Drosophila melanogaster: one gene and its partners. The protein of the gene in region 4 interacts with the protein of the main gene of each other region in a pairwise test. Each region holds a gene or a part of one and is shown on either strand. Other genes may lie near its edges.

What was found.
Region 1: the proteins of eyg (region 4) and Cda5 interact in a two-hybrid assay, tested with the Drosophila melanogaster proteins (one large-scale study listed by BioGRID).
Region 2: the proteins of eyg (region 4) and term interact in a two-hybrid assay, tested with the Drosophila melanogaster proteins (one large-scale study listed by BioGRID).
Region 3: the proteins of eyg (region 4) and sisA interact in a two-hybrid assay, tested with the Drosophila melanogaster proteins (one large-scale study listed by BioGRID).

The regions. Positions count from the first base shown.
Region 1 is NT_033779.5:54,785-62,420, reverse strand, and holds the start of Cda5 (chitin deacetylase-like 5), read left to right. Parts: upstream 1-3,152; 5' UTR 3,153-3,231; exon of another isoform or gene 3,232-3,462; intron 3,463-3,689; exon of another isoform or gene 3,690-4,172; intron 4,173-4,227; exon of another isoform or gene 4,228-4,238; 5' UTR 4,239-4,270; coding exon 4,271-4,340; intron 4,341-6,653; exon of another isoform or gene 6,654-7,604; intron 7,605-7,636.
Region 2 is NT_037436.4:18,590,178-18,596,509, forward strand, and holds term (terminus), read right to left. Parts: upstream 3,595-6,332; 5' UTR 3,435-3,594; coding exon 2,148-3,434; 3' UTR 2,126-2,147; downstream 1-2,125.
Region 3 is NC_004354.4:11,319,608-11,325,464, forward strand, and holds sisA (sisterless A), read right to left. Parts: upstream 2,751-5,857; 5' UTR 2,684-2,750; coding exon 2,114-2,683; 3' UTR 1,972-2,113; downstream 1-1,971. Other genes in the region: l(1)10Bb (lethal (1) 10Bb), read right to left, coding at 5,063-5,403, 5,485-5,578. UniProt on the Drosophila melanogaster protein: Involved in sex determination and dosage compensation. Required for proper expression of Sxl in embryonic somatic cells. Also has an essential function in the yolk nuclei. Involved in endoderm migration and midgut formation.
Region 4 is NT_037436.4:12,460,719-12,471,043, forward strand, and holds eyg (eyegone), read right to left. Parts: upstream 7,304-10,325; 5' UTR 6,901-7,303; coding exon 6,768-6,900; intron 5,447-6,767; coding exon 5,126-5,446; intron 4,446-5,125; coding exon 4,305-4,445; intron 4,180-4,304; coding exon 3,596-4,179; intron 3,385-3,595; coding exon 2,551-3,384; 3' UTR 1,819-2,550; downstream 1-1,818. Other genes in the region: CG32102 (uncharacterized protein), read right to left, coding at 8,439-8,705.

The DNA of each region.
Region 1 (7,636 bases), on a different chromosome or scaffold from region 4:
TCTTAACTTTGAGCTACAAGTGTGACAATATTATTAATAAAGCCACAAAACCGGCTTCGTACAAATCGGCTGCTTTGAAAACTAACTCAAACTCAATTTTAAATAGGTATCGAATATCTCATGACTTTTTGCAACTATTTCCCTTAAATCAATTAGCAATAGAAAAATAATCAATCATTAAACGAGTATCAACACCAAAACATATCACGTTCTTAGGGTCTGTTGTTGGGAGATTTAAAAACCTGCGAAAAGTATGTTTCTTAAAATGTATGTAACAGATTAGTTAGGTAAGTCTCCGCTGCTAACTATAACTACGACTTGCTTCCAACTAAGGCGTGGCCAGTGGTTCCGGTAATAGCAGCTTGACGGCTGTTCTATTCGCCACCATTTGCGCTGCGCTTGATTTGTACAATTAGATTGCTTAAAGGCCACTCCCCTTCTCTTCAGTTCCTACCCCAAACGTTGGTGAACGGGAAGGTCACCACGCTATTACTTGTACTTTTGTTTGCAATGAGAAAGACTTCTAGTGTTGTTTCTAAAGACGAAAGAGCAAGAAAATAAAATAAGAAGTTATGTTAAACTATTTAACAATCTGAAAATTCTGTATATAGTTTTTTCAATTCCTAACTAAAAGCATTGACTCTTATTGATATTTGTTCAATGTCTGATATGATATTAAAGTAAAGACAAAATATATTTGGCGTTTAGCTTAACAAATCGTTGATAAAAGTTTATCCAACTATTTTGATTCGTAGGTGTGACTGCATACTTGTCCATTTTTGTTATAACTGAAACATAATTAATTTTATTTATTGTCATTAGAAAGGCAACTGCATGCGCTGTCCAAAAGTGGACCCATTAAAGTCAAAATACTTTCAAAATGCTTGGCTTAAGGCACAAAAAAGTTTGTGCGCGAAGGAATTTCATGACAATCGAACGAAATTTGCTTATCATTGAGTTAGAGGCTGAAATAAATTTGACCACAAGTAGCCGATGTGGAATTGTATTAACAAGGGCATTAATGTAGTATGGCATGTCCCAAACACCTAAGACAAAGATTGCCATACACCAGAAGTCACCAAGAGAGCTGCGTTTGAAAATAATACTATTAACTATGATGTATCCACAGTGTTTACAATTTTTCTCTCACTACAATTTTTGACATTTTTGATTTGTCACTCACTTCATTGATTAAATTTAATGCTTCAACATTTCGTAAAACTATATGATTTAATTAAGTGTTTAACGGCAATGACTTTTTCAATTAACGGAACTATTGTATTTTTGTCTTCCATTTATTATTCAAGAGTTAAGCACAATGCTCCAATATTTCAAGTATACCATAAACTGAAGGCTCTGACCGATTCGAATTGCATGTGTAAGCAAAGTGCGGGTTTACTTGTCGGGTAACCACTTTATCGAAAACATTATAGGCGAGTTTTGAGGGCCAACAATTTGACAATCATTTTCCGTTGAGCTTTTTCTGTCTGAATCAACTTGCGATATCTTAATGCGTGCTAACTATTGACCATATTTTGACAGGTTTCATATACATAACAGAAGAAATATTTGTTTCAGGAAACGGAGTTATTACGGTTCATTAATGAGTTTGCCAAATCGCCTGTTTTACCAAACGTGGCCAAAGTGTTCTTGGTATACCGATAGAAATTTACAAGGGTTATAATAAAATAAAAAAAAATCTCAAAAACTTTTTAAAAGTGTGCGCGTGGCAGCTTTTGGGGGTTTGTGGGCATTAGAAGGAACGCCGCCAAAGTGTTCTTAGTATAACGATAGCTATGGGCGGTCTGTGGGCGTAAGAGTGGGCGTGGAAAAAATGGATTTGGCAAATGAATATAAATTTACAAGACTGATGAAAATATACAAAAAAATATGCAACAATTTTTCAAAAATGTGGGCGTAGCAGTTTCGGGTTGCTTGAGGTCGTTACAGTGGGTGTGGCAACATGGGACAACAAACTTGCGCTGCGTCCATGTCACTAGAATATGTATGCTGAATCTCAACCTTCTAGCTTTAATAGTTCCTGAGAACTCGACGTTAATACGGACGGACAAGCCTGATCGACTCTGCCAATGGTCTTGATAAAGTATTTGTATATTTTATATGGTCCGAAACGTTTAGTTCAAGATACACTTCGTTACACACTTTTTAATATAGTAACGGAAATAATTAAATAATTTCCTAAACAAAGTCAAAAATATTCAATGCAACAAAACACCTCGCCCTCCATTCACAGAAAAAATCGTGTGAAACACAATCCAGCAAAAATAAATTAATAAATAAAGAATTAGATTAATTCGCATGCCTTGCTCAAACCATCAGCCATCGCCGTTCACCAGAACCCCTTTACTTCAGCTGTTGTTTTACAGCTTTTGCTTGGCTTTGGTTGGCTGCTTTGGCCTAGTTCTTGGTCGTTGCCATGTTTTCAACTCGGTTTTACTTTCAATTCTATGGTTCGAAATTGGCCACTTTACTTTAGACTTTAGAGTAAAGCTATATGTTGGGCATATAAATCGAATTTATCAAGGGCAATTCAGCTGGGTGGTATTAATTCTAAAAGTGATTGAGTGGTCTTCCTTCGATCCCATGCTTGACATGGATTCAAGTCCAAGCCCATGTTGAAGTAGTAAGCATTCTTTAATTTAAGCACCGTAATCCACTATCGAGCGATCCAGAAACCTGCTGCTAAACGAAAATGTAACGAAAAAGGTAACAACATTTCACAATCGCCTTGGTAAATAGTTTCCCAGCCTTCGTTGGCTAGAGGGTGGATATTGTTGTAGTTTCAGAAAACAATAAACAAAGCCCGCTCCCCGCTTGTAGATAGCTTGAAACTGATGGGGAGCTTTGGATGAAATTCTCAGTAAAATGTTGAAATTCACTAAGAATATGGGTCTGGACTACATTTTTCTGATAACTTGTATAACTTGTAAAACGTAGCAAAGCTGCAATGGCGCAAGCGTTAACTTTACTCTTACTTTCAAAAGCTTAAGAGATACAAACGACTCCGCGCGGGTGCAGCAACAACTTGAACAGTCTGTTAATGTAAAGTAACAGTCGGGGCCAAGCGTGGCGCAGACCAAGCTTGGCCCAAAAGCCAGACTTCGAAACTTGGTTGGCTGGCTGCGCTTGCCCAGAGTCTCAAGACACTCGTCCGCACAGTCGCGCTGTATAGTTGTTTCGATTAGGACGTGTGGTTCGCTTAAGCGCACGGTAAGCAGAGACGCTCGAGGGTCACCCGAACTTGTCAGGCGGTCTAAACTGTTTGCAATAAGCCACAATCAATTTTTGGGCTTTCGATTGCTAATTTATTTCGTAAACGCGTCGAAATAAAGTCCACCTCTGACTGGACATTGCAACCAGCCAAAAATTTAACATTTTGTAGAAAGCAGTTTTAACTGCATTTTGCAGTTTAGTCGAAGAGCTCAAGCGTGTGTGTCGGTGGTAAGCTAACTTTGCGTTAAAAAGAAAGTTTACGCTAAATATATATACAAGCTTCGACAAACAAAATAAAAACGTGCAGGTTTTGTTTTATTTTGTTTCGCATTTTCCTCTACGCGCTACAGACTAGTTCATACAGAGTTTTCCAATATGGAGGTGCCCGCGATACCGTACGGGAAATCTAAATCAAACACCGATCTTCGATTTGATCTCTTTGCATTTTTGTCTAGCAATCTTTTCCATGGTAACTACAAAACGAACAGCGGTCATTGCAGTCTCACGTGAAAGAAACTAAAAAACCTAACTAAAAATCGCTTGCCAAAAGCAATGGAGGAAAACTAAGTGTTGTAATCTGTAAACGTGTGTGTTAGCTATGCATCGTCGCGTTGGTTAAAGCCAAACGAAAGCTCGAATAATAGGGGCAGAAACTAAATCTGCTTACAACAATACAAACATGTCCTAACCAAGTGAAGGCACAGCCACAAAGCCGCAGTCGCGGCATAAGCCAGACACACCATTAAGAAAACTGTAACACAAGGCTCAAAAAATCTAAATTGAAAAATTGCGACACTGCCTTCTTAGTTATTTAGCAATTGTTTTCAACAAAACAGAGGTTTTCTCAACGGTAACTGCCTCCGTCATCGGTACGGTGGCTGCTGCTGCTCCCCACTTCCCGCGCTTCCAACCACTATTTTTATCCGAGCTTGCCTATGGTATTTTAAATTCTGTGAACTAACCCCAAAACGAAACTGAACCAACCACATCAAGAAAATTTACAGTTACAGTTACGACGACACGCCATACCTGCAATATGAAGTATTCAACAAGTCGAATAAACATTCTGTGCCTGCTGGGATTGTGCCTACTGCTTTTTAAAACAGGTGAGTAATGCCCACTTCAGTGAAGAACACTCTGCTAGAAATACAAATGGAGGCAAAAACTTAAAAGAGCAAAGGGCTTACACACTTTACCCACTAGTCCTAGAAGAGTTAGCACTTAACCAGATTTTAAGACAACCATGGATAAGTATTCAGTTCATGTATGAACTGAAATCTTTTTTTAAACGTAGATCCGAAAAAGTTTTATTTTTAAGTGAATTGTTTTTACAGTACTATGGATTCTTCTTTTCCTCAATCATATTCGAAACTTCGTGATAGAAATATTATGTTCCGCAAATAAAGCCAAACTTGTTTTGAACACTGTTCCGGCTGCCATGTACGAGCTCGCAATAGTCTAATGTCAAATTCAATCACCGTAGAAGAAGTCAAACCACCAGCTGTTAACCACTTGTGTTGAGCTCTATTGTGGATACTCCGGCTCCGGCTAAACGAGTTTCTTAATATGTCCAAAAATGTATATTTATTTTAATATATATATATATATATATATATTAAGACATTTTACTGCGAAATGTGTTAGGATATATAAAAAGTAAGAGTATTTACATTAGGGTATGTATGGAGGTAAATACATGGTCTGATCAACTGCTCTATTTACCAGCGAACAATAACATAATCAAGCATTTCGACCATAACAAGCCTTACCGTGTCCAACTATTGGTCACTTGGGCTGTCTACTCACCATACTGCTGGGTAATGGTAATGGAATTATGTAAGTTATCAGCCAGCAGCCAACCAAGCAGCTTATGACACAGATATTAATTGCATACAGCTCGCTGACTCGATTGAATAGGTTCACTAAGTGAGTGAGTGTATCGGTGTAACCGAGCAAATTGTGGCTATAATAACTGTTGATAATTTTTAAAACAGTTTGCTTAATTGTTCAGACATTTTTTATGAATGATATATATGCAAAATTTGAGAAAACAAATTGGGAACTACGAAAATTGCTTAGATAACGTGGTAAGGATTAACACTATTAAAATTATAATAACAGCATTAGACGGCTAAATTGTTTTGAGATAGATTTTTTGTATTACCTTTGTGGCCTTATAAAGTGCATATATGTATCTTATTCATAACATATTAGTAAAAACAGCGAACTTGAAATAGCCAAGCCCGGCTGTCCGATCGTCCTCTTTTAAACAATTTATAATCTATCTGCTATACCGATTCGGTCGTTGATACTTAGCAAGAAATATATATACCATATATGGGCACAATTGTGTCCTTCACAGCTTTGAAATTTCTGACTTAAGTGAATGTACCCTCCGCAAGGGTATGAAGACTTGCATGACTTGGTTTAGGCATAGTGGCAACACTTTCCATTTTGATGAACTTTCTCAGTGTTTTGAGTGGTGTTTTTTTAAGCCACAGAAATATATATTTGGGTAAAACCTTAGATATGCCGCCATGGAAATATTTTCATGCGTAATTGCTAGGAAATTTGTGTTAAAACATTTGATGTACTACTGGTTTAATGCGAATGTCGATGGCTGAAAGAAAAAGGTTTGAGGCGGACGAGGCCAATGGCGAAAGTTGAACATTTGCAAGAACATTTGTTTAAGCGCGTGTTTAATGAATAGTATAACAAAGGGGTTTTAATCATAATTCAGTTTCAATGCCAGTTAAACCATTAGTATGGTGGTCACGCCTCGACCTAATCATTTCGTCTCTTTTTTACCGCAGGCAGTGTCAATGCTTACCGTGCGAAAGTTTTGGCGCACGCGGAAGATCGTCATTAAATTACTTCGCTAGGTCTTTGACTGTAACCTGAACACTTTATACGAGCATGTACGACCATTGGCATGGCGCAACTTTGTTTTGCATGCACACAGTGCACTTTCGCTTTCAAGCAGTATTCCAGCGAGTCTGAGGCAAGCTTGAATAAATTTGCACACAGCAATGGTAATCCCTGGATTTCGCAAGGCTCCAGATAATTTGCGTTGAATTGGACGTCGAAATTGTTGTCGGCACAGTACGAGGAGTACCAATAGACTACCAAACGGCAACACCCAACTTTTCTTAGCTTCTGCGCCTGCCCTTACAAGCTTGTTGTTTACGGCGCTACTCACCTTGAAATGCTTACGCATTACAGTTGAAAATTATTTTTGCTACGAAATGGGCAATCTATTAAAACATTGCGTTAAGCCGACGACGTCCATATCCGTAGCACATGTAAATAGAGCTCTTGACGTCTCTATGCACCGTATCGTGAAATTAAATGGGGCCCGACGCAGCTGCTCCACTTAACCCTCTTACACCAATCTTGTTACGGCAAAGTAACTTTCTTTTACGGCAAAAAGCCGCTGTAAACTTTTATTTTGTATAGCCTTTCTATCCTATATCTACGACCACATTAATTGAGCAGTATCAACGGCCGGCTCTATATAGCCGTGTCCGTTCGTCTATTTCTACGCAAACTGATCTCACAGTTTTAATGCTATTTGCTGCATAAACCTTTTTGATCATAACATTTTTCTTATTCGATTATTCGAAGGGTTTAGATGATTCGGCTTGTCGAAGCTAGCTTCCAATGTCCATATAATTTTTATTAAGATTGAAGATTTTACTGATACTTGAAGGATTTTCTAACACAAATATTTCCTTAGCTCGCTCTTTTTTTTACAGAAGTTAATTGTGATTGTTTTGCTTGGCAATCGATGGTCCGGCACACGGTTTGCTTATGTCAGTCGAGGCTTTTTCGTCTCCTTTGTGGGTATAAACTGGATTTTGCAGATGTTGAATGCATCGACCTTGACGAGATTGCCGTTGGGATTCCGTTTTTGTTGTTGTGTTTTGTGTTTGTTTCGTAGACCACTGCTTGGTAAATTTAAGTGGAATTGACGCTAAAGGCTCTCAAGGGCAAACTGCAGCAGGTCAGCTGCTCTCCTCTGTTAAGCACTCGGATACGCAACTTTTTCATTTATAATATATTTTACGGCACCGCAAAATGGTATGCTGTTCACCTTTCACTTTCACCAAACCCAATATGACTCCAATACGTATTAGTGAGCTCGCTTTAATAACGGTTGTCGGCCTCATAGTGACAAAATGTTGGCCGGCACGGTACGATTATGTGAGCCTATCGATTAGCGGTGCCCTGTGATTGCATAATCGCACTCATCTGTTTCGTTAGAGCATCATTAAGTGCTTGGTTTTAAACGTAATACTTAGCAGGCTGCCGTCGGGTATTCGAATACCATAAGAACAGTGCATTTTAATTCGTCCGCGCATTATGTGAATAATTGTAAGGGTATAAAGGTATAATGCTAGGT
Region 2 (6,332 bases), 6.1 Mb from region 4:
ATATTTTACCGACTGCGGGTCAGACAATGGGACCGACTACGGGACTATGGGTATCAAAATGTAGATACATTTTATTCTAAATAGCTATTCTCGTGGACGCGACTGTCGGGACCCACAGTGAGTCGCATGCATCACAGCATCTGCATGCTTTATGCCATTGTCTTTGTCAATATTGTTGTTTCGTGGCACTGCAATATAGGCTTAATAGTACCTTTTTGTGGTCAAAAAGCCCTATTTCAAAAGTCCGTAATACAAAGTTTTGATTACGCCCTTAGGTTAGTAGTAGATAAGACTTTAGTGTTGCGTACCAGAAATTTAAAAAAATCCAGCACGGTTAAGATACATGTTTTTATTAAACAAGTGATAGGGATCGAAAGAACTGGCTTGTACTATGTGTTTGTGATTTTGAATTGTTGAATTTCTTGTGTCTTTCCCTGTAGTTGAGTGTTGTAAATTGCACTTTTAGGAGTATTAGCTGAAACAATAATTAATGTTTAACTAGAGACTTAAACATGAACTTTTTTTTTTTTTTTAATTCGGGTCCCACGGCTACACCTCCCGTCCAACCGACCGAGGGGCGCTGCCGTGTATCGTACGGCTCGATTCGCGAGAAGATATAGACGCGATATAAAAAAGAGAACAGGAACGAGGAAATGAATAAAATGTAAAATTACTATATTAAATATTACTGTTAGTAGGATCTAATTATGTAATAAAAAAGGTAAAATCGATTGCTTTAAGAGCGGCAGAGAGTCAAGATTACAGATACAGAATAAGATAAAGTCTATTATAGTCAGAATATAAAACTCTGTAAGGGTCATGCAACTCATAGTTAGATCTACAATGATTTAAGATAAGGGGTATATAGTTTCTAGTGAATCTACTTGTAACCGAGAAAATAAGCCGACTAATCAAGTCGGGACTCTCAACATCCCCACGAATAAGCTTACAAATAAAGACTGTTCCAAGCATAGTTCTACGTTTAGCTAGGGGCGGTAAATTAATTAAAAGTAGTATACTAGAATAAGGAGGTAATATACGGTTTGCATCCCAATTTAGGCGCCGCAAGGCAAAAAGTAAGAATTTTTTTGGACCGATTCAATGCTGTCCGAGTGGACTGCGTATTGTGGACTCCAAACAGGTGATCCGTCGAGAATCGGACGGACTAACGAAATAAATAAGGTTTTAGTCAAGTAAGGAACTTCACCTAACTTCACTATAATATACTATATACTGTGTTGTTGGTAATTCAATTCTTGTTCATAATTAACGTTTTTAGGTCGCAACTTCAGGTTCTCAAATGCGGAAATATTTATTTGGTGATCTGCTGCGAGTAAACGTGCAAGAGAGAAGACAATACTGGATATACATACATGTATATAAAATCTCAATCGCTTTATTTAGTATTTGATGATAATGAGGACAGATTAAGAAACATTGCAAAAACTTGTGCTACAGATTGTCGCAAAAATGGACTGCTTGCAATAGAAATCTGAAGCTATTCAAAGAAAGTACACAGATTGGCTTAAAATTGAGACCGTTTATAGCATTAAATCGATCGACGATCGTAGATCTACAGGACTTATAAAGGTCTTATAAATTATCGAGTGGAAGAACTCAGAGAAGAAAGGCGTCAAGTTTGGTGAAATCGACGGCAGGGAATATTAAATTATTGATTTAATATAAGGGTGGTAAATCAGACGTAGCATACATATTAAAACTGTTGGCTATCTGCCCTGAGAAAGCCAAAATCCTGCGCTCATTAATAAATCAGCCTGTTGCATTCGCACACATATAGTTGGGGCTACAAATATAGGTACAAGCATGTTAGTTACAAATGTTAGTATTTTATTTAATCTGGTTAACAACAGTGGTTAATATTTTTGCAGTCGGTCCCGTACTCGGTCACGTACTCCTGTCGCGGAGATGTCTGGATGTCTGCCAACGACAGTGGCGAGAGGTGCTCACAATTAATAATAAATATTGTCTTAAACGTTTGGCTTTGCAATAAAACGTATAAAATTCCTAAAAATTTTCACCTATTATTAAAAGTTATTAGCTATTATTGCAACCGCCACTACCCTTACATTGATTTACCCCCTGGTTAAAAGAAAGAATTAAGTTTCAGCTTAAAAGTTATCGTTTATTTAATAAAATTTACAAGGACTATTGTGCTGGGCGTTGCTGATGACGACACACGGGCCGTGCTGCACCTTCACGGAGCTCTCGCTGCGCCAGTCGCACTCGATGGGCACAAACTGACCCTTCCGCATCATGGTCTTGGGCTTGGTGATGCCGTAGCAGGCGTGCTGGAAGACGCTTCTCGAGATGGGCAGGCACTGCTCGTAGATCTCCACGATGTCCGCGTGCATGCTGTCCACGGAGAAGTCCTGGCCACAGCGCAGCTTCTGGTGGATGTGCAGTTTGCTGCGTCGCGAGAACTGGGTGCGACACCTCCGGCAGTGGAGGTCCTTTAGCGGCGAGCTGGTCTGATCCCTTTCGATGGAATTGACGGGGGTGGAGAGCTCGTGGAGCCGCTGGAATTGGCCCATGATATTGTTCAGGATGAGGAAGTTCTTGTTGGGCAGCTGCTGGAGGGTTTCGCTGATATGATAGGGCACCACATACAGCTCCTTGGTGGTCTTGCACTGCTGCAGTCCGTAGAGATTGACGCGCATGTTGGGCGGGAAGTAGCCGTTGCACTCGCGGAAGTGCTTCAGGTAGGCGGAGCGCAGACTGGCAAGCTCTGCCTCGCTGGTGGAGCAGCCGGTAGTGGCGGTCAGGCCCTCCTCCTCCTGAAGCTGCAGGGGTAGGGCGAAGACGGACGAGTCCGCTGACTGACCGTCCGCCTCCACCCTAATCCTCTTCACCTGTACTTTCAATCTGGTGATGCTGCACTCTGCCATGCCGTACTCGCTGCTGCAGTTGAGGTAGTTTTCAATCCTCTGCATAAGCATCTCGTAGACCACGCCCACGGATTCGTCTACGTCGTAGTGGTGGTCCGCCCTCAGCGAGCCGCTCTGAAAGATCAACACCTGGTCCATGGCGTTCACGTAGCAGGCCAGATTGAACTCCACGGCCACGGTGTTGTTCTGGAACATCCAGCGGAGAAGCTCGGGGATTCCCCTCGCACAGGTCTCGCCCATGAAGTGTTCCAGCTTGTCCTTGGAACTCTCGTCGCAGAAGAAGAAAGTCTCGATCTGGCGGGCCTCGATAATATCCATAACGGCCTGCTGTTGCTTGGTAAGATGCAAGCCCTGTGATGCTTCTCCTCCCCGCAGCCAATGCTGGGAGGGCGGCTCATCTGCGTCGATGGAGCTGTAGCAGGTGGCACATTCGTGTAACTGGCCCTGGGAAAACCACTGGTGGTGGAATGTCTGCGTGGTCTCCTCGTTGGTAAAAACGAAGCTGGAGATTATGGGCTCGTCGAACATGATTGAGATATGGAAACTTTGGATTCGAAAACTAAAGGTGGATATAGCTTTGTTGGACGATTTACCAATTTCAGGCACAAATAGATGATTACTCTTTCAGTTTGCTCCGGAAGCACTGAGATGTATCTATGGCAAGATTCAGTTGCTGAGTGATATCCTTATCTTCGTCCACCTGGCTTATATACAAACTAGTACTACAGGGTAACAGGTAGACTGTGAAGGTACATATATCCTTTGGTGTTACAAATCTACTTGTGGATTTTCCTTTTACCTAATCCGTCATATATTTTATGAGCATTCAAGTTGTGCTAATAATTGAGTACAACAGCAGCTGCGCGGTCATAAAGTTTTATTAGGTATAGGTGTATACGGTATAATCTGTTTTAAAAATGATAGAGCGGCTGGTATTAGATAAACGACGCCTACGAAGGGATTGGCAGTCTAATAGATCACCAATTACAAAGCACATGCTTAAGATACCCACACGCAGGCTTACCAATGCTCTCAAACAAGAGGAAAAAAACAGCCAACGTTCATATATCGAGCAACTCTCTCCCACCAGCACTAAGTACCCTCTTTGGAGAGCTCACAGAAACCTAAAGACTCCAATAGCGCCAATTATGCCACTACGAAGTCCCTCTGGCACCTGGTTTCGAAGTGATGAAGAAAGAGCCTGTGCTTTCGCTGACCATTTACAAAATGTATTCCGACCAAATCCCTCTACCAACACATTTATTCTCCCTCCTTTAATAGCAGCCAATCTAGATCCTCAAGAACCCTTTGAATTCCGACCATGTGAACTAGCAAAGGTTATCAAAGAGCAACTGAACCCAAGAAAATCGCCTGGCTACGACCTAATAACTCCAAGAATGCTCATTGAACTCCCAAAGTGTGCTATTCTTCACATCTGCCTGTTGTTCAACGCAATCGATAAGCTTGGATACTTCCCTCAAAAATGGAAAAAGTCGACCATAGTAATGATTCCAAAGCCAGGAAAAGATAAAACGCAGCCATCATCATATAGACCGATAAGCTTACTAACATGTCTTTCAAAGCTGTTTGAAAAAATGCTACTCCTTCGGATTAGCCCTCATCTTAGAATAAACAACACACTTCCAACACATCAATTTGGCTTTAGAGAAAAACATGGAACCATCGAACAGGTCAACCGAATCACGTCAGAAATTCGTACTGCTTTTGAACATCGAGAATACTGCACAGCCATTTTTCTAGACGTCGCGCAGGCATTTGACAGAGTGTGGCTCGATGGACTTTTGTTTAAAATAATCAAGCTGTTGCCCCAAAACACACATAAGCTACTGAAGTCATACCTATATAACAGAGTGTTTGCAATAAGATGCGATACAAGCACTTCACGCGATTGCGCAATCGAAGCTGGAGTGCCGCAAGGCAGTGTACTGGATCCAATCTTATACACCCTGTATACGGCGGATTTCCCCATAGACTACAATCTAACAACCTCCACGTTCGCTGATGATACCGCGATACTCAGTCGCTCCAAATGCCCAATAAAAGCCACGGCACTCCTATCCCGACACTTATCATCTGTAGAACGATGGCTTGCCGACTGGAGAATTTCAATAAATGTTCAAAAATGCAAGCAGGTTACCTTTACCTTAAACAAACAAACATGCCCACCACTGGTCTTGAATAACATATGCATTCCACAAGCCGACGAGGTAACATATCTGGGTGTTCATCTGGACAGGCGGCTCACTTGGCGCAAACATATAGAAGCCAAATCGAAACATCTTAAACTTAAAGCAAGGAACCTCCACTGGCTCATAAATGCTCGCTCTCCACTTAGTCTGGAGTTCAAAGCTCTTCTATACAACTCCGTCTTAAAACCTATCTGGACTTATGGCTCCGAGCTGTGGGGCAACGCATCCAGAAGTAACATAGACATTATTCAGCGAGCACAGTCAAGAATTCTGAGAATTATCACTGGAGCGCCGTGGTACCTTCGGAACGAAAACATACACAGAGACCTAAAAATCAAATTAGTAATCGAAGTAATAGCTGAGAAAAAAAACGAAGTATAACGAAAAGCTGACCACCCATACAAATCCCCTCGCAAGAAAACTAATCCGAGTATGCAGTCAAAGCCGGCTGCACCGCAACGACCTCCCAGCCCAGCAATAAACTTATTAGGGCATTAATGAAAAAAAAAAACTATCACTAAGTGAAAGTTAATTAAGTTAGATTAAGATTTGAACACTTATTGTTAGTCTCTTAACACAAAGAGAAGATTCAATAAATAATAAAAATTAAATAAAAAAAAAAAAAAAAAAAAAAATGATAGGTTTTTCAGACAGATACATTTTCAATAATCTTAAATAGAGAGGCGAGTGGTGGTATCACCCGCATGGAAATAACATTCTGGAACAAAATTATAAGATTATCCTAGAATCCTCGCAAACAAATAATTATTATAGCTACTTCATTTATGTTATTGATACTATCAAATATTGATACGAATTGATACTGGTCAAATTAGTTTTGAATTGAAACGAATTCAATAACGCTTTAGTGCGCTTTTACTTATTTAATTGACAGAGTGGCTTCCCCAATAATTTCTGAACAATTTTGTAGTTCCTATTCAGTTTTTCCATGAAAAACCACAATCAAAAATGTTAAAATAAACAGCTTTTCTTGAAATTCAGGTAGACGGAATAATCAAAAACCTAATGAAAAAAACCCTTTCTAATTAGCCATCGGGTTTAATGAGAGTGAAATCGAAAAAATATATTAATAATATATTTCTGGATTAAGCAATAGCTGTACCCATTAGAACGTACCCATTATTATAACTTGGAAAGAATATGTCAGAGAATATTTGGTTTCCAATAGTTCGATCGAAAATTGATTTGTACAGAC
Region 3 (5,857 bases), on a different chromosome or scaffold from region 4:
GCCGATGCCCATTGACAATGCCGAAGCTTTTTATCGTCTTTGTGCCAGGTGCGTCCACCAGACAATGGACAAAGGGGCGGTGGGGCGGTGGGACGCATCCTTGACCAGTACTCGGTCCGGCTCTCCAGTAACCCATCAGTGCTGTTCGCCAACTGGTAGTTTCATGTGAATACCTATGTAATGTGAGAGGAAGTCTGGAAAAAGGATTTAGATATTAGGTACTTTTTCATTAATCAGCTGAAAAGTAGGCAGCAATATTTTAACTATTTGTGAAGCAATTTTACTTTTATGTGTGATTGCGTGATAAAGATACTTTACTTCAGTTACATTCCTTTGGATACTTTCCTTTGTATACATTCCTTTAGATACTTTCCTTCAAACACTTTCCTTCAGATACGTTCCTTCAGATTCGTTCCTTCAGATACTTTCCTTCAAATACTTTCCTTCAGATACTCGTCTTTAGATACTTTCTTACAGAAAACGATATACTGATCTGTTTTGCAGCGCCATCTACTTCTGGTAATACTACCCATTTTTACCATAGCATCTGGATGGCCTTCATCACTCCCGGTTTTCTTTTCATTTCTGAAATTCTTCGACTGCATTCAACACAAACGAGCTGAGCTTTTATGGCCGAGCGATAAAATCAAATTGAAGTTCTTTTCCGGCACTTTACAAGAGGGAGTGAAAGAGAGAGCGTTGTGCGGGAAGAAAGAGATGGGTGAAGTGGGTGCAAAGTTTCAACCATTTAGTATTATGACAAACAGTGGTGGACAGCACATTAATAACTGTACTCAAATATTGAAAATTATTTCAAAAGTTTTCCGTATTTTAAAGTAGAAAAGTCTTTTTTTTAATTTCATTTAATATACATATATTTGTAGCTCATAATATCGCCTTTAGGTAACAAAATTAATGCTGTACCACAGTTAGGTACACGAAGTACCTTTCCCCGCACTGATGACGTTGAATCGCTGAATTGTGTGCACTTGAGTGAACGAATAAGAGTGAGACGTGCGTAGTTAAGAAGCAGCAACAGAAAGTTGGAAAATCCAGGGAAATGGGGGGATAGTGGGGATTTAGCCGGAGGAAAACTGCAGCGATGAAATCATTTGTAACCTGGCACGTGAAAATGAAATTTTTGAGCGAGCATCAGCTTGAAATTCGATTGGCCATTGTGGCGAAATGCGTTTTATACTCTCGTTTTTACATTCCTATTATTTGCTCCTCCATTCATTCTTAATGTTGTGCTATTAAAAAATATCTGTGAACAGTAGTAACGACTAACTGATACCTAAAGAGTTGAAAAGATACGGCGTGAAATAGAATAACTTTTTGGGGTAAAAAACAATCAGAAGTATCTATATTTATCCTTCTCATTACGCAGACATCAAGATATTATGAGAAATTACTTAAAAAATATATGTAGTTATTAAAATTATATTGTATATATATATACATAGTATATACCCTTGGCAAGCATTTAGTAAAGCTTCCAAGTTCAGTTCGCAGTTCTTAAATGAAAACACCAACCAGAAAGTGGGGTGCTATTTGCAGTAGTAGCCCCACTAAATTTAGCCACAATCTCTTACAGAAACCTGCTCTTAAGGCCATTACTTCCATTGCATTTGCTGCTTTTGGCAACGCAAATTGTTCGCAAGCCAAAAAAAAAAAGGGAAAAAAAGAATGGAAAGGGGGAAAAACGTGAAACGGGGAAAGCGAAGTGCAATCATGTCGGATCAAATGAACTGAACTTAAGCAAGTCGAAATGGGTGCATTGCATTGGCCCAATTCCGATGGGATTACCTTCGGCCAGGCGAAGGAAACCCCAAGACTGCCGATGCGTTAAATGCAGAATAAATGCATCCAAATTATGGGAAATTCTTGTAAAGTGAAATTAACAAGTTATCCTTGACTCCATATGATCGTGTGAACCTATAACAAATATTTGAATAAGAAAGCATTCGTTTTCAATATGATTCTTAATTTTATTTAAAAATTTAATAATATGCTTAGATAAATACTAGATATAGTCAACAAAAAAAAAAAGTGGTATGGCTAATGCTGGACTAGTCAGGGATCCGTTCCTGCGACACATAGCTACACTATGATATCACTGCTCCATTTCCAGGCCGAAAGTGGCCCGCATCCGCTCGAGTGTGGCGGCGGGATATCCCCGCTCGAGCAGCTGCCTCTCCGCCTGGGCAATCACATCCCGCATCGTGTCCAACATGACGGCGCTCTTCTTCAGCTGCCCGCTGACGAATTTGTGCCGGAAGCGCAGCTTGGCCTTCTTGATCTTGTTGTTGTAGCGGGATTTGCGGCACGACTCGGCCCTCTGACGCTGGGCATCCTTGACATCCGAACCAGAACCGGAACCTGATCCGGAACCCGATCCGCGGCAATCCATAGCAAGCTCCGTTTTCAGCGGCGGCGGTGCACGGCGCTCCACAACAATGGGATTCTCCAGGAGCATCTGGTCTACGTAGCGTTGCTCCTCGTCGGCGTAGTGCATTTTGAGATGATGCAGCTGCTGGGACACCAGCTCCTCGATCTGCTCCGGCTTCGATGATGTTGACGATGCTGTCGATAGTGCGGGTGAACTGCTTCCGCGATACGGTGCGTATACGTGACCCATGGCCGCGTAGCTCAGAGTGGGCAAGTAAAGATGACTCCGTTCCATGGTGATTTTTTTCGATGTGTGACGTGGTCTGTGACTGCTCTCGTCGAGATTTCGTGTGCTAATGCTGCCTTAGGCAATATGTCAGCCCCGTTTTATACCATTTCCGCAGGTAGCTTGCCATTGGACACTGGATGGGTTATTCGCGGGTTCTACCTTCATGAATGGCGGTCACTGGGATTTATGATCTTGTTTTCCTCAATCTTGTCGCCTTGCTGGACACCGCCTACCTGCATCCGGATTGGCCAACGAATCGCAGATATGTAAACAAAGGGATTAGGGTAGCAGACGCACTGAGTCTACCTGATAATTGGTCAAATTTAAAAACAAAAGGATCAGGTGCGAACCAATATGTGGGTTTCTTCAATGGCTACCTACATACATATGTATGTCGGTATGCAAATACTCCCCATAATATAAAAGATATTCTAAGCCAAGAGATACGATTCAATGCAACTGATAAGGGCGTCATTAAATCCACAATAATCCCAAGGTCAAGCTGGGCTGTTCGTCTATCACCATCCATTTGCCGATTCGCGCCTTATCTAGCAGCCGAAATGAGTCAACAAATGTTGGGCTATGTGGAAAATCAACCTGCTTGGGCAAATACGAGCATGTCAAGCGGGTGGGATCAGGCGGCATTATGCGATAAGAGACACCAATATCGATTGCCATTGCTACCTGCTAAAGTTGCTATTTGTCCATTCCGGATCAACCCATCTGGAAGTGGGTTTCCCGCATCAGGTAGCCATTTCAAGGAGCCACTTTCGACGTGGTGGCAAACAAGTTGCGGCTTGTTGTCGTGGGATTAACCAGCCGAACCGACCGCATTTAGTCTATTAATTAATTTAACAGCCCTCGAAACGATGAGGGGTTCAGCGACCTGCTTAGCAGGCCTCAAAGGGTTAAACCAGAAATCCCTTTGGCTGAGAATAATATGTAATAGAGTTTGGTGGACCAAACTCAAAATCCATAAATAGTTGCTATCTCTGGCTGATGTAATGTAATATTTAACTAGCAATATTATAGAACAATATGACGCAAGCAGCAACTTATGCTAATTAAATAACCAATTAATTGTTGAACAAAAAGCAGTAAAATGTTATAACACTGCAAGTACCCAAAATATACTTTCCACTTGCTCCATTTTCATGTATTTCAATTTACAACGCTGCACATGTGTGCCACTCGAATTACATAACTGGCATAAATAACTCCGCTGGGTAATTGGCAAAACAATTGAGTATTTTTAGTGACCGAAAGCAGTTTTAATTCGAAATCCCCCATTTCAGCCAGATGGGGGCAAGCTGTCAGCGGCAGACGGGCAATAATTTTTCCATTTTTCGCATTTTACCATTTTCCATTCGGCATTAACCATTTGCCATGTGAACAATAAAATCGACAGCGCCGCGTTTGTTTGGCAAATGAGAAAATATGCAGACAAGTATAATTAAAAAACCATTTATAATCATTTTCGACCAAATCCCAATTGGCCACCCAAAACCAAACCAAACCCCGCAGGAACACTTGAAGCCTGACAGTTTTCAGCTTGAGAATAAGTTGGGAATGCCGATGGCCGGAATACTCTAGCTGAATTGGATGACTCAAGGAAATATGTATATACTCTTATTTCTATATACTCAAATGTTGAACTAGGGCTTCCATTTTCGGACAATAAAGAAACACTATACCCTTAGAAAGAGTACTGAAAATCGAGGAGCAAGGCGACGATAAATGGACGCACATGAAGGAGACTCCGCCACATCCCCGAAAACGACATTGAGTTTGAATTATGTCAGCGCAGCAATAAATTGTCCAAGGCATTAAATTAAAATATATGTATGTATAGTATATATCGTTTAAAGAAAAGCTGTGAAATCATTAGAAGGACGTACGTAAATTGCATATTTTACTACAGAAATTTTCACAACTCACATATTGAGATGGCTAGATTATAAAAAAAGGAATATATTTAAGTTAATATTCAAAACTCCACTTCGACATATGTAGGAAATTTAATTTATTAAATGCTTTTAAACATTTTCATAAATTATAATCTTTATTTATTTGATTAAACTACAAGTTAATTTCTATCTTTTCTATACATTCTAATACAAAAATGTCTGCTCATACCATTTCTACATTTTTTTTTAAACAAATCGGAACGCATTTCCCAACGATGCCTTGTCGTTTACATAATCGGTTTATTGCAGCATCTATTTAGATGTTTAGCATGCCATTAACCATAATTGTGGCTTGTATTTAAATGTATTTACATACTATGAAGAAATCAGGCGAAATCTAAAGTTGAACCTACTGAACTATGTATTATGAGGATTATTTGTGTCGAATAAAGATGCCAATAATGCGTCCACATGGAATCTAACCGGAGCAGCCGCGACAACCGCAGTGGACACACTCAACGATCCGACCCTCTTCCAGTTTGCATTTGGGCACCCGGCATATGCAGTTCGTGCCGAAATTGGTGTCCCTCGTTTGAATGCAGCGCAGGCAGCATAGGTTCTCGTATCCAGACTTCTTCCACTTGGCAATCAGATTGCCATCGGCAATCTTCTCCTTCAGACAGTAGTCGTACAATTCCCGGCTGATGGCTTTCCGGCGATAGAATAGATCGTAGATGTATCGTGTCTTCTGGTGGTGGATCTTGAAAATGGGCCAAAGGGATTCCGTAATGCGTTTGCCCTCGTGCGGTTCCGTTTCGGCTGTTTAAGAAGGTTAATAATATACGTATAGGATTATAGTAAAGTTTTCATTATCACAGAAGCCGCCACGCTTGTCCTTACCTTCGCGCATTTTTTGCTCCAGTTCCTCGAGAGTTGGTTCGATCAGCTCCCAACCGTCTGGCGGTGGTTTGCGACTGCGGCGAACCTTGGGCATCTTAAATGTTCAATTTATTTAACTGTAAAACTGTTTAATTTCTCTTAAAAATGCTTAATTTTGCTTGAAAAACAAACATTTCACAAACAGCTGGCTACTTAGCGATGACACTTTCCACATGGGCTGTCCACAGCATCAAACGGTTATCGAACACTCACTATCGATAGGCCGTGTCTAAGCCGATTGGCGATAGCACTTTATTGTTTTTGTTGTTTTCCTTTTGGGAGACGCGTGTGTGTGTTTTGCGTGTGATAATTTATTTATTTTCCCGTTCCGTTT
Region 4 (10,325 bases):
GTTATTGCTGGTGTTGCGACTTCGCACGTTTATGGTCCATTTAGAAGTATGCAATGGCGATGTTGCGCCGGCTCGCCAACAGATTTATCACCGGCTCCTTGCCAATGGAGGCACAAAAGACACACATGCACTGGAAAAAATTGTGTATAGAAAATGTTGAATGTTGTCGGAGGGACACTTTTTATTGATAAATACTGATTAAATTAGAATGGCAGATTCATTCTAATAAGTTCAAATAAAAATGATTTTTTAAGTTATAGGTATATCGTATTAATCATATTTCTATTTAATGAAATTTTTATCTGTGTACTTCGAGTCCGTCGGTGGAGCCTTGGTAAAGTTCATCGATTTCCGCCAACCCAAGACAATAAAAACTGCTCATACCCAACAGCGGGCAACAAAGATTTGGCAACAAAGTTGCAGGACAATCTGCAGGATCCTCGTGGCCCATCAAGTGGCCAACTGATCAGCTCGTCGAGGTTGCTGGATATACGAGCTTGAGATGCTGCATCGTAAAAATGTTTGACTGCGCGATTATATGGCGCTCATGAGAGCGCCACTTTGCCCTGGTCCATCAAACCAAGGCATCCTCCAGCGAATCCCTTGGAGCCGAAAATCACGTTGATGGAATCCCCAGGCCGTCAAATCAAAGTTAAGTACACTAAACGAAATCACTGAATGAGCGCGAACCCAAAAGGCAAATAAAAGCCGAATATACATATATTGTATGTATATATGTATATATATAGCACAGACGTGGCGCAGACTGTATAAATATCGTATAATGTATAATTTATGGGCCCGAGGTGAAAATATTTTCAATAGAAGGTGATTTAAATTTATTAAAGGAATGCTCACGAGCAGAGCTCCGCACTAAATTAGAATAAGTCGATTGGTGGTATGGCGATGGAGATGGGGCTGGGCCATTTGCTCATAAAAGCCCAAGCAAATTGAATTTGTGGACACCCGATGACCATTCCCGAGCCCAAAATTCTCAAATCCCCCAATACCCCCTAGTCCACAACTTCCAATCCCGATCCCGATTCCGTTCGGAGCTGTAAGTATCGACACGAATGGTGCTCCACGCTCTTTCGCTTATCAGATGCGAGGAGCTCATTTAAATCTCGGCCAGGCCAGAAATAAAGACGCGCATCCACCCGGTTAACCAACCTACAAAAGTCAACGATCCAAACCGATCCCATTCCAACCGATCGGATCGGATCCAATCCAAGCCTGCAAGCTCGCCTTTTGTTAACACCATAATTTACATTGATTTATGTGCTTAGTTGGTTCGGCATTTTTAATCGGTCCCCATACGATACCATATGATACCAAACCATACCATCCATTCTCATCTCCTCGTCGCGTTTAGTCTGTCCCCACTGTGTTTGTGCGCGCGGCTTCATTTGGTTATAATTAAAATGTCGATGTTATCAGCCAGATTTGGACATATTGGCCATTACGTTCGAAATTTAAGCGTTTTCTATGCGCGTATTTTGGATTTGGATTTTTTTTTTTTTTTTTTTTTTTTTTGATTTCGATTTCGTTTGGCTTTTTGTTCTGTCTTCGTTCGGTGTATTAATATTTAATAACGTTTTAAGAAGCTTTCGAGTGTTGTTAAATGCTTATTTATGCTTTTCGGCCGTGTTTGGTGTGTTTGTTTGTTGCCCAGTGTGTTTGAATGGATAATTATGCGTGAAATCGAACGTATAAATTGTATTTGTTGTCAAACCAAAGCGAGTCTATACAAACCGATTTCCTGGTCATATATTTCTGTTTGTTTATTGCCGAAAGAAAGTAAACGATTCTTCATTATTTCTTGCACTTTTTATTGGTTTCTCACTCAGCGGTTGACCATTTTAGTTTTTTTCTTTTATTTGAGCCAAAAACACTTAGTCTACGCACTAAATATCAGTTCAAACGCAACCAACTCAAGAATCAAATCCTTAAACAATACGCATTCATAAATAGATTTGGCTTAGGACTATTTTAAAGTTTAAAGTTACATATAGTTAGATATTGCATATGCTATAGCCTTAAATGGTGATGAGGTAAGTCGGCAGCCGGCGAATGAACAAGTATTATAGTATAATTATGCATAACTATAGGGTATACAATGGGCATGTGCATTTCAAGTGGGACAAGCGTGTTCGTATCGGGTATTAGTTACAATTTCAGCTAATCTTAAGCCGCCCATTATGTTGTTGCTGCTGCTTTCTGCTACATTTTTCTGTTTACTTTTTTCTATTTTTATTTAGTTTTTTTTTTCTTTTTTCTAGCGACCCCGAACCGCAGCCAAGTAGGTGAGCAGCATTTTAACTTTGGTTTTTCGATTTGTTTGCCCACTGTGTGTGTAGTCGCTTCTCGTATTTCAGTCCACCAGTTGCAATTTCAAATGCAATTGCAATTGCATCAGTAGTTGCTGTTGCTTTTGCTGCTTTTGTTTTTGTTGCCACTGTCAATCACAGAGGCGCGCACAACTCAGGTTTTCAATTAGACTTTGCCGCCGCCCATCTAGACCAGGTGGCCCTTGTCGCCCATGTCGCCCATCTAGCGGTCATGCTTTAGGAATTGCAACGTGGCCGGCGCATCGGAGGATGACAGGCGAGCCACCTTTGCCGCCGTTGCCGCCGACGACTCAATTTCACCATCGGAATCGTCGTGCACGTTGATCTCCTCATCCGAGTCCGATGACGAGTTGTCCACCGTCATGGTTGAGCCGCCAGATTGAGTGGTGTTGGTATTGGGTCCCGTGCCCTCACCACCGCTCCCCAAACCACCTGCGGAGTAGTGCAATCTGGAGCGCTGCTCCTCGGCGACCGTTAATGATGCAGCCACGGCATATTGCCTGGCCAATCCCAGGAAGGCAGCCGCCGAGGGCGAGCTCACCAGACTCCTGAAGGCACTACGCTCCCCGCCCATGGAGAGGTGATTCGCCGCCGGATTGCATCCACTGGGTGAGAGTTGCTGTTGTTGTTGATGATGTTGCTGCTGCTGCTGCTGATGCTGCTGCTGTTGTTGCTGTTGCTGCTGCTGGTGGTAGTGGCTGAGCAGCTGGAGGGCAGCTGGATGCGTGGGTAGGTGCAGAGGATGATGGTGATGGTGGCCGCCCGGAGGACCATGCAGTGGGTGTAACAGCACCGAAGGTGGCGGACCCTGTGGCGAGTGGTCACCGCACAGGGGCAACGGCTGCTGAGGTGGCGGCACGGGAGCCACTGGAGCGGAGGTGGAGGCACTGCTGTGGTTACTGGGCGTGGGCGAACTGGCCGGTGCATCGTTCGACTGCTGCGAGTGCAGCGGATTGGCGGGACTGGAGCGCTGACGCTTCAGGAGATTCATGCGTTGGTGGCGACGCCATTTAGCCCGGCGATTGGAGAACCACACCTGGAAAGGGTAGAAATAAATGATATTTAATAAAGATTAGTTATTTGAGGTTTTGGTTAATTGGCTTTGAAAGAGGTAACTCTAATTTCTGATATAAAAGTATTGATTTACTCATTAATTTAAATCAAATGGTATGTAACTACTTTACTAGCCACTTTTAATCTTGCTTTTTGAAAGTTTTGAGTGAAGCCTTTGTTTTCACCTGACTCACCTGAACTCTTGCCTCGCTCAAGCTGGTGCGACTGGACAACCGCTCCCTGGTGCTCACACAAGGATAATGACTCTTGTCGAACTCCTTCTCCAGCTCCTCCAACTGCTCCGGACTGAAGGTGGTCCGATTCCGCCTGAACTTGGGCTCATCATCGTCATCCAGATAATCGGAGTCTATGTGCCGGTTCTCATCCGCTGATTCCAAGGTATCATGGCTGCCAGAGCCAGGGGAGATGGCCCGATTGGTTGGTGTGCCACCTGCTCCGCCGGCCATCAAGTGCGCCGAACTGAGGGAGCCACAAGTGGAGACGGGCACAGCGCTCGCTGCACTCGGAGGCAGATTGGCGAGCGTGGGAGCGGCAACGGACCACAGGGCGGATGGAGGTGGCGGTGGTGGTACCCCCTGGCCGCCGGGCACATTGCCGGCCGGATGCCAGGTGAAGCTACCGTACGGATGAGGGGGTGGCGGGTACAGGCCATAGGCGGCGGTGCGAGCAAACTCGGTGGCCACCCGCTCGGCGGCTCGATTGCGCAGGATGCGATTGATGCTGCTCACCGATGGAGCGGTGGCATTAGTGCAGACACCTGCAAGGCGGGATTACGCAATTACCGAGCAGTCGAAGATCGAGATCAAAAGCTAAAAGCGACCGCCGATCAATCAGCGTTCAATCTGCGTCCGCGGATTAGCTGCAATTATGTGGAACACTCACCCTCCGAAATCAGGCGTTCTCGTATCTCCCAGGCGAAGATCGTTGGATTCTCGCGCTTGTACTGTTCGATCTTGGAGACGACCGTCGGCGTGGCCACCTTGGGCTTTGAGCCACCAATTAAGCCCGGTGGTCGCAGCGAGCCTGCAAGAATCAGAGCACAATTCCAGTTAAATTATGAGACAATGGATTTATGACTTTGCCAGCCTGGTTTTGGCAATCCATCTGTTTTTGGCTGGCAGCAAGGATTAACCCTGGTTGCTAATATCTTTATCTGCTCGTTTCATCAACATGTGATGTATGGAAAATATGAATGGGAAAACAATACAAGCCTTGGCAAATACACTGGTAGAAACCAGAGCAGCTCAAGAATTGGAAAACTTAAAAATGAGTGATTTTAACTACTTAAAGTTACTGTAATGACGGGTTTAAAAGACTTAAAAAATTCTAAACATGGAATAAATGTGATCACATATCCTTATTTGGAATTAAGCATTTTTTTCTTTCAGTGCACGGCAGCACGCACCAACCAACACTACCACCAAGGAATACCCGCTCGTGAATAAGCCGCATTTTGATTAATGAGCCAGCCGCGTTTTGGCCACCGCCAGTCAGGAGTTTATGCAATTTTAAGTGGCCAAATTACACGGCTGCGCACACGAGGGATACGCCACGCAGGGGATGGTAGGGGCAACTCGCAGGATAATAACATGTTTATCATAAAAATTAGCAAACAAATCGAAAACAAAGTACCCATTAGTTATCTGATGAGGGAAGGAACTGAGAAACTGAGCGGTCGTCCCTTTCAAGGGCTCACAACTCACCTAGCAACTTGGAGACAGCTCCCTGCTGGGTTAGCATGTGCTGGGCAATGTCATAGCCACGCAGTCCACCGAAACGTGAGAATTCCAGGAGGCGATGCTGTGACATCAGGGTGTTCAATGTGCTCCCCGTGGGTCCACCTGCACCGTGCGGAATGCCGCCAGTGGAGCCGCCGCCGCCAAAGCCGGGTGGTATTTGCACAGATGTGGGTGATGTGGATGTGGCCCCTCCGCCACCGGCTACCGCTCCCGATCCCGCTCCGGCCGCCGCTGCTGCCGCTGCCGCTGCTGCTGCTGCTGCTGCTGCCACGGATGCCGCCGCTACTGCAATTGAATGATAATTGGGTATTGTTATTTTATTGTGGCTTTAGCTGTCGCGGCCACAATGGTTAATTATGATAAATTAAGCGTTAATTGTGTTGACCGAACCGAAATGACTGATGGGTCCTACGAATATATTAGCGTTTCTATTACCCCAGCAAATGTCTAAGCTGATCGAATGGCCAAAATGGTGGCGACACGCAATCGAATCTTCCAGGCACGAGCAGATTTATCAAGCTAATTGATACGACAATGATCTCTTAGTACAAAAGGCGAAAATTAAAATATGTACTCAGCTGGATACGAAAAGAAAGCAAAAAACAAGTAGAAAAACAACTGTGTATTACGTTAATTCGACAGAATATTATATTTGCCTTCGCTTAAAAAACCTACATATATCATTCGGCTTGGGCAACTCGTCGCTCAAATTGTCAATTAGCGTTTTAAATGCGCGTTTCACTTTTGTTGTTTGTCAAGTAAATATTTTTAAAAAAATACGCGCACCTCCAGTCGTGCCTAACTGAATATACATATATGTAAGTATATGGGCCCATAATCAATTGTGCCGCCCATCAAATGAGAACCAGTTTTGTTTATTTCGGTCTATTTAAAGGTGAAAAGCAAGGAAATGGGACTGTCAAATGAGCCACGCAATTGGTAATGTGACATGCGTAACGATTTGTGTTTGTTTTAACTGAAGATTTAAGTTGGAATAACATAAAACATTTGTTATGAACATACTAAGTACGAACATGACAAATTTTAATCGCTTTCTTATAAATGGCCCACATTGTTTAAACTAGAAATATTATAAAGGATCACACTTATTTTATCTTCTGTTTAAGAAAATAAAAAGGCACTCAAAGTTAGTTTTACATAGACCTTTGTATGATCAATTTGATAATTTACATAATTTATCTACCATATACCATTTAAATAAAAAATTGTTTGTTTTACAGCGAAAAGTTAACACCAACTATATTCAAACTAAATGGATCTGGTTAAGAATTACACATAAACACATTTGACCCAGTTTGATACTTTATTTAATACTTTAACCGAAACACCGTTTTAACACACTAATTTAAACGATGCTTAGTTATTAGTTATACATAATTTCAATAATAGATTTTAGGTTTTATCGCGAAAGAACTAATTTGTTTAAATTAAAATTCGAACATTCCGGATTTGCTATCGAATGACATATTACACCTTTGACCCAGTTTCGGATTTATTTTTTGAAGATTTGTGTATATTTTCTTAAAATCCCCAAGCCTGGCTTTGCCGTCGGCAAGACTTCACATGGGCACTTTGGGGCACTTACCACTGGAAGCGTGAGGGGCCAGCGATGTGATGCGTTGGGGATGGGGCTCCATTTTCCAGTGCGCGGCCGAGAGGCCAGAATTAGCGACAGTAAGCGAGCCAAGGTCACGGTTTAAAGTCGGCTCAATCAACATGTCTAAGAATCGCTCTTTCCAATTCTCTTTATTATTTATTGTTATTTTATATTTGTTTATTTTATTAATTTTATTTGGGTATAACACAATCACAGTCACAAGTGTCGCACATCCAAGGCAGAGGTATCGATTATAGCGAATGCAACCGGAAACGGAAATGGAAACGCAATGCGGTCAATTGGATTCATAGCGTGCTGCTCACTCACACACTCGCATACACACGCACACAGATACACACACAGTGACAAATGCACGACAGTCGATCCCGACAGAAACAGTTAGAAAACGCTCCTGCGTATCTCTTGCTCTTATTTTTATTATAGAATTTGTTTTTATCGAATTTCTTGCGAACACTGCGCTCCGTTGAAACGTTGTTCACGCGAAAGCTGCTCTCAGCACAATGAGCGCTTGAATTTCACCTGGTCACCCGGGTCACTCCGCTCCACTCGAACAGTTTCACTCCGCTTTTGAGTGCTTTTCGAAACGCCAACCGGTTTACGAGTACCGTACTTTCATAATGGCGCCCGTTGAGGCAAACTCTTGCTCTCTCGCTCTTCTGCGCGAGAGCGGGACAACCACATGCACACTATGCGCGCACACAAATCAAACAATTATAAACTCGTTGTTGGTAAAGTGCTGAGTATAAACAGTGGCAAGAAGAAGAAGAAGAAGCAGACGAATGAAGAGCAGTGAGTGTGAGAGAGAGCGAACGCTTTGGGGAAGTGACAAGAAGAAGAACCAGAATAAGAAGAGAAAGAGGAGTTGGGGAACCCTTTAATTTTAACTACAAATGTAGTTGGGATACCATAGCACGTTTGAAGTCAACCTTTAGGTGCATTTCTCGCCTAATGTAATATTCTAATTGATTGAATTAACCGTACAGCTTAAATTGTACCATTTAGGAACATTTAGTTCGTAATCTTTACTGTTGAGTAATGCATTCAATTTATCGTTACTTTAAGCCAGAGACCATGGCCCCAATAAGTAGGCACTTTCAAATACCAACTCTTGATTATCATATCGATCTGTGTACAAATGAGCTACATTTACAAAAGTTCATGCATATGTATAATCTCTAACAATTAAGGCTAAAGACTGAAAAGAAGTTTGGCTTTTTGCTTACACTTCTAAAATAAATAATAATAATAAAATATTTTATTTCGAAATTATTAAAATAGCTGTAATATTGTATCAATAAAATGGCAGTATGGTATGTTTGTTTTACTTTTTATTTGATTCTACTCAGGAGAAAGACAAAAAAATATATATAAATAATTGGTAAATAATACCTCAGCAAAATATAAACATTAGCATTATAATAAAACAGAAAAGCATTAAATTGCTTCCTTTTTGTGGACTTCATAACTACTATTCCGCTTTTAAACTGACCAATTGCAATTAAAACTCGATTTTTAAACATAAACTTATTAAAAGAAGATTTAAGCCTGAAAGTCCTTTTTAAACAAACTAAATCGTTTATTGCATTGAAAGATAACATAAAATGATCGCTAAATAACAATAACTAAAATGCCTGCAATTTAAAAGAGCTTAGTAGCATATAGCCATTTGAAAGGAATTTTAATCCGGTCAAATGTGCAGTGAAGTGGCCAAATTGCATCCATTGCGATCCAGAGTGAACCTTGGACACGTATAAATCGCATGCGTGGCATGGGCCGTTTGCCATTCAGGTTTGCACTGCCCGTTTTGGGTCGTTGTCTCCCGGCCTTTGGTGCGTGATGGATGATTGATGTGCTGCCTGGGCAAGGCAATCCGATGTGAATCGAAACTGCAACTAAACTACACATGGCGTGATCGGGGAGCCACACAGATCACAGCTCGCAGCTCGCAACTCTCAGAACAGAACGGGGCAGAAACGGGCTACACCAAGTGGCAGAGTGGCCTGCACAGAAGCCAAATTGCATCAAAGCCCACGGATTGAGTGGCTCCCGGCGATGCAGGATTCGAATTGGAAGCTGAAAGATGAAAGCTGAAAGCTGAGAGTCGAGTTAAAAAGCAATTACCTGAAATGATTCCCCAATGGAATGAGATGGGATGAGATCAGTTGGGATGGGATGGGATCGGGTGGAAAGAGGAGCGAGTGCAGAAATCTGGATGCGAAACGATATGGTTCAGCAGAATCACCTGGCGATAATGAGATGTCTCACTAAGCTGATCAGAACTGCCTTTGTATTTATTTGTCTGTTCGAATGCAAAGTGCACAATGCACCGAACACTCGTGCATATATGTTTCTTCGATTTGTGAAAGGCGAATCATGAATGAAACGCTGCTGACGATGACGTTCGAGTGCCCTCATGCCAGAGATCCAGAGCAAACGCAAACAATCGAACAGGAATAATTTACTAAGTAAATAATATCTGGATACCGATCGCTGCACGGTAAGAAATTGCGTAAACCGGTGACCCATATTGCTCAGCAACCAAAGAAACCTTTCAGCACTGAGATATTTTTCATTCCATTGTTTTCTGGGATAATTTAAAGTAACAGAATTATCTTCTTACAACATTTTTTTGTCTTAACTTGACAGTAAGAGTTCTTAATTAAAGTCTGAAATTTTTAAAAATATTTTTTACGATTTTTTTTTACTAGTTTACTCAAGATCTATAGCAATATTTAAAGAGTTGAATCAATGGTCTCTATGGAATAGTGTTATATATGGTATATACATATTTCGTAACCATTTGATCCCAATTTTGGCCAGTGTAATCCCCGCGAGTAGCGTGCGCCCTCGCCCCATCAAGTGGCACTTCAACAATCAAGCATTCACACAAGCAGATGGTCCGCAGCCGTTGGCGACCACCTAAATGAAATTTCATTTAGTTTTTTTTCGCCCGTCATCGCCGCCGCAATCGCAACCCGCTCCTCGAGATCTCCCCATCCATCGCAGTCCATCCAATCCATCCGTCCAGCGCAGAGTTCCAGCCCCAATCCCAATCCCAATTCCAATCCCAATACGGTCTCCTATTTGCTTATGCACACATTATCAACGTACGCCCGCCTTATGGAGTGTTTGTTTACCTAATTCGATTACCGATCGCGTCCGTTCGCGCCATAGTCCACCGGCCACTTGACCATTTGGGTGGCACGGATCCGTACTCATGGGGTCCGCTCTTCGGCCAGACGTCGTGCGTAATCGCCCCACGGCAGCTGATGCAGTGCAGCGGAATTGGGAGATGGAGATGGAGATTATGTTGCTGCTGGAGCCGGGGGCCTTAATTGAAGAACCTGCCACGGGGGTACATACATACATACTTTCATCGCTTTGCAGTCGCGGAGGTAAATTAAGTCTTAATATCCTAAGTCGAGTGTCTAAAGATTAGGAAAATAAACACTCAAGGACTTTATCGATTCGTAAAGAAAAATCAAAAGTAAACTGCAATTACATTTCAATAATAAACAACCCTAT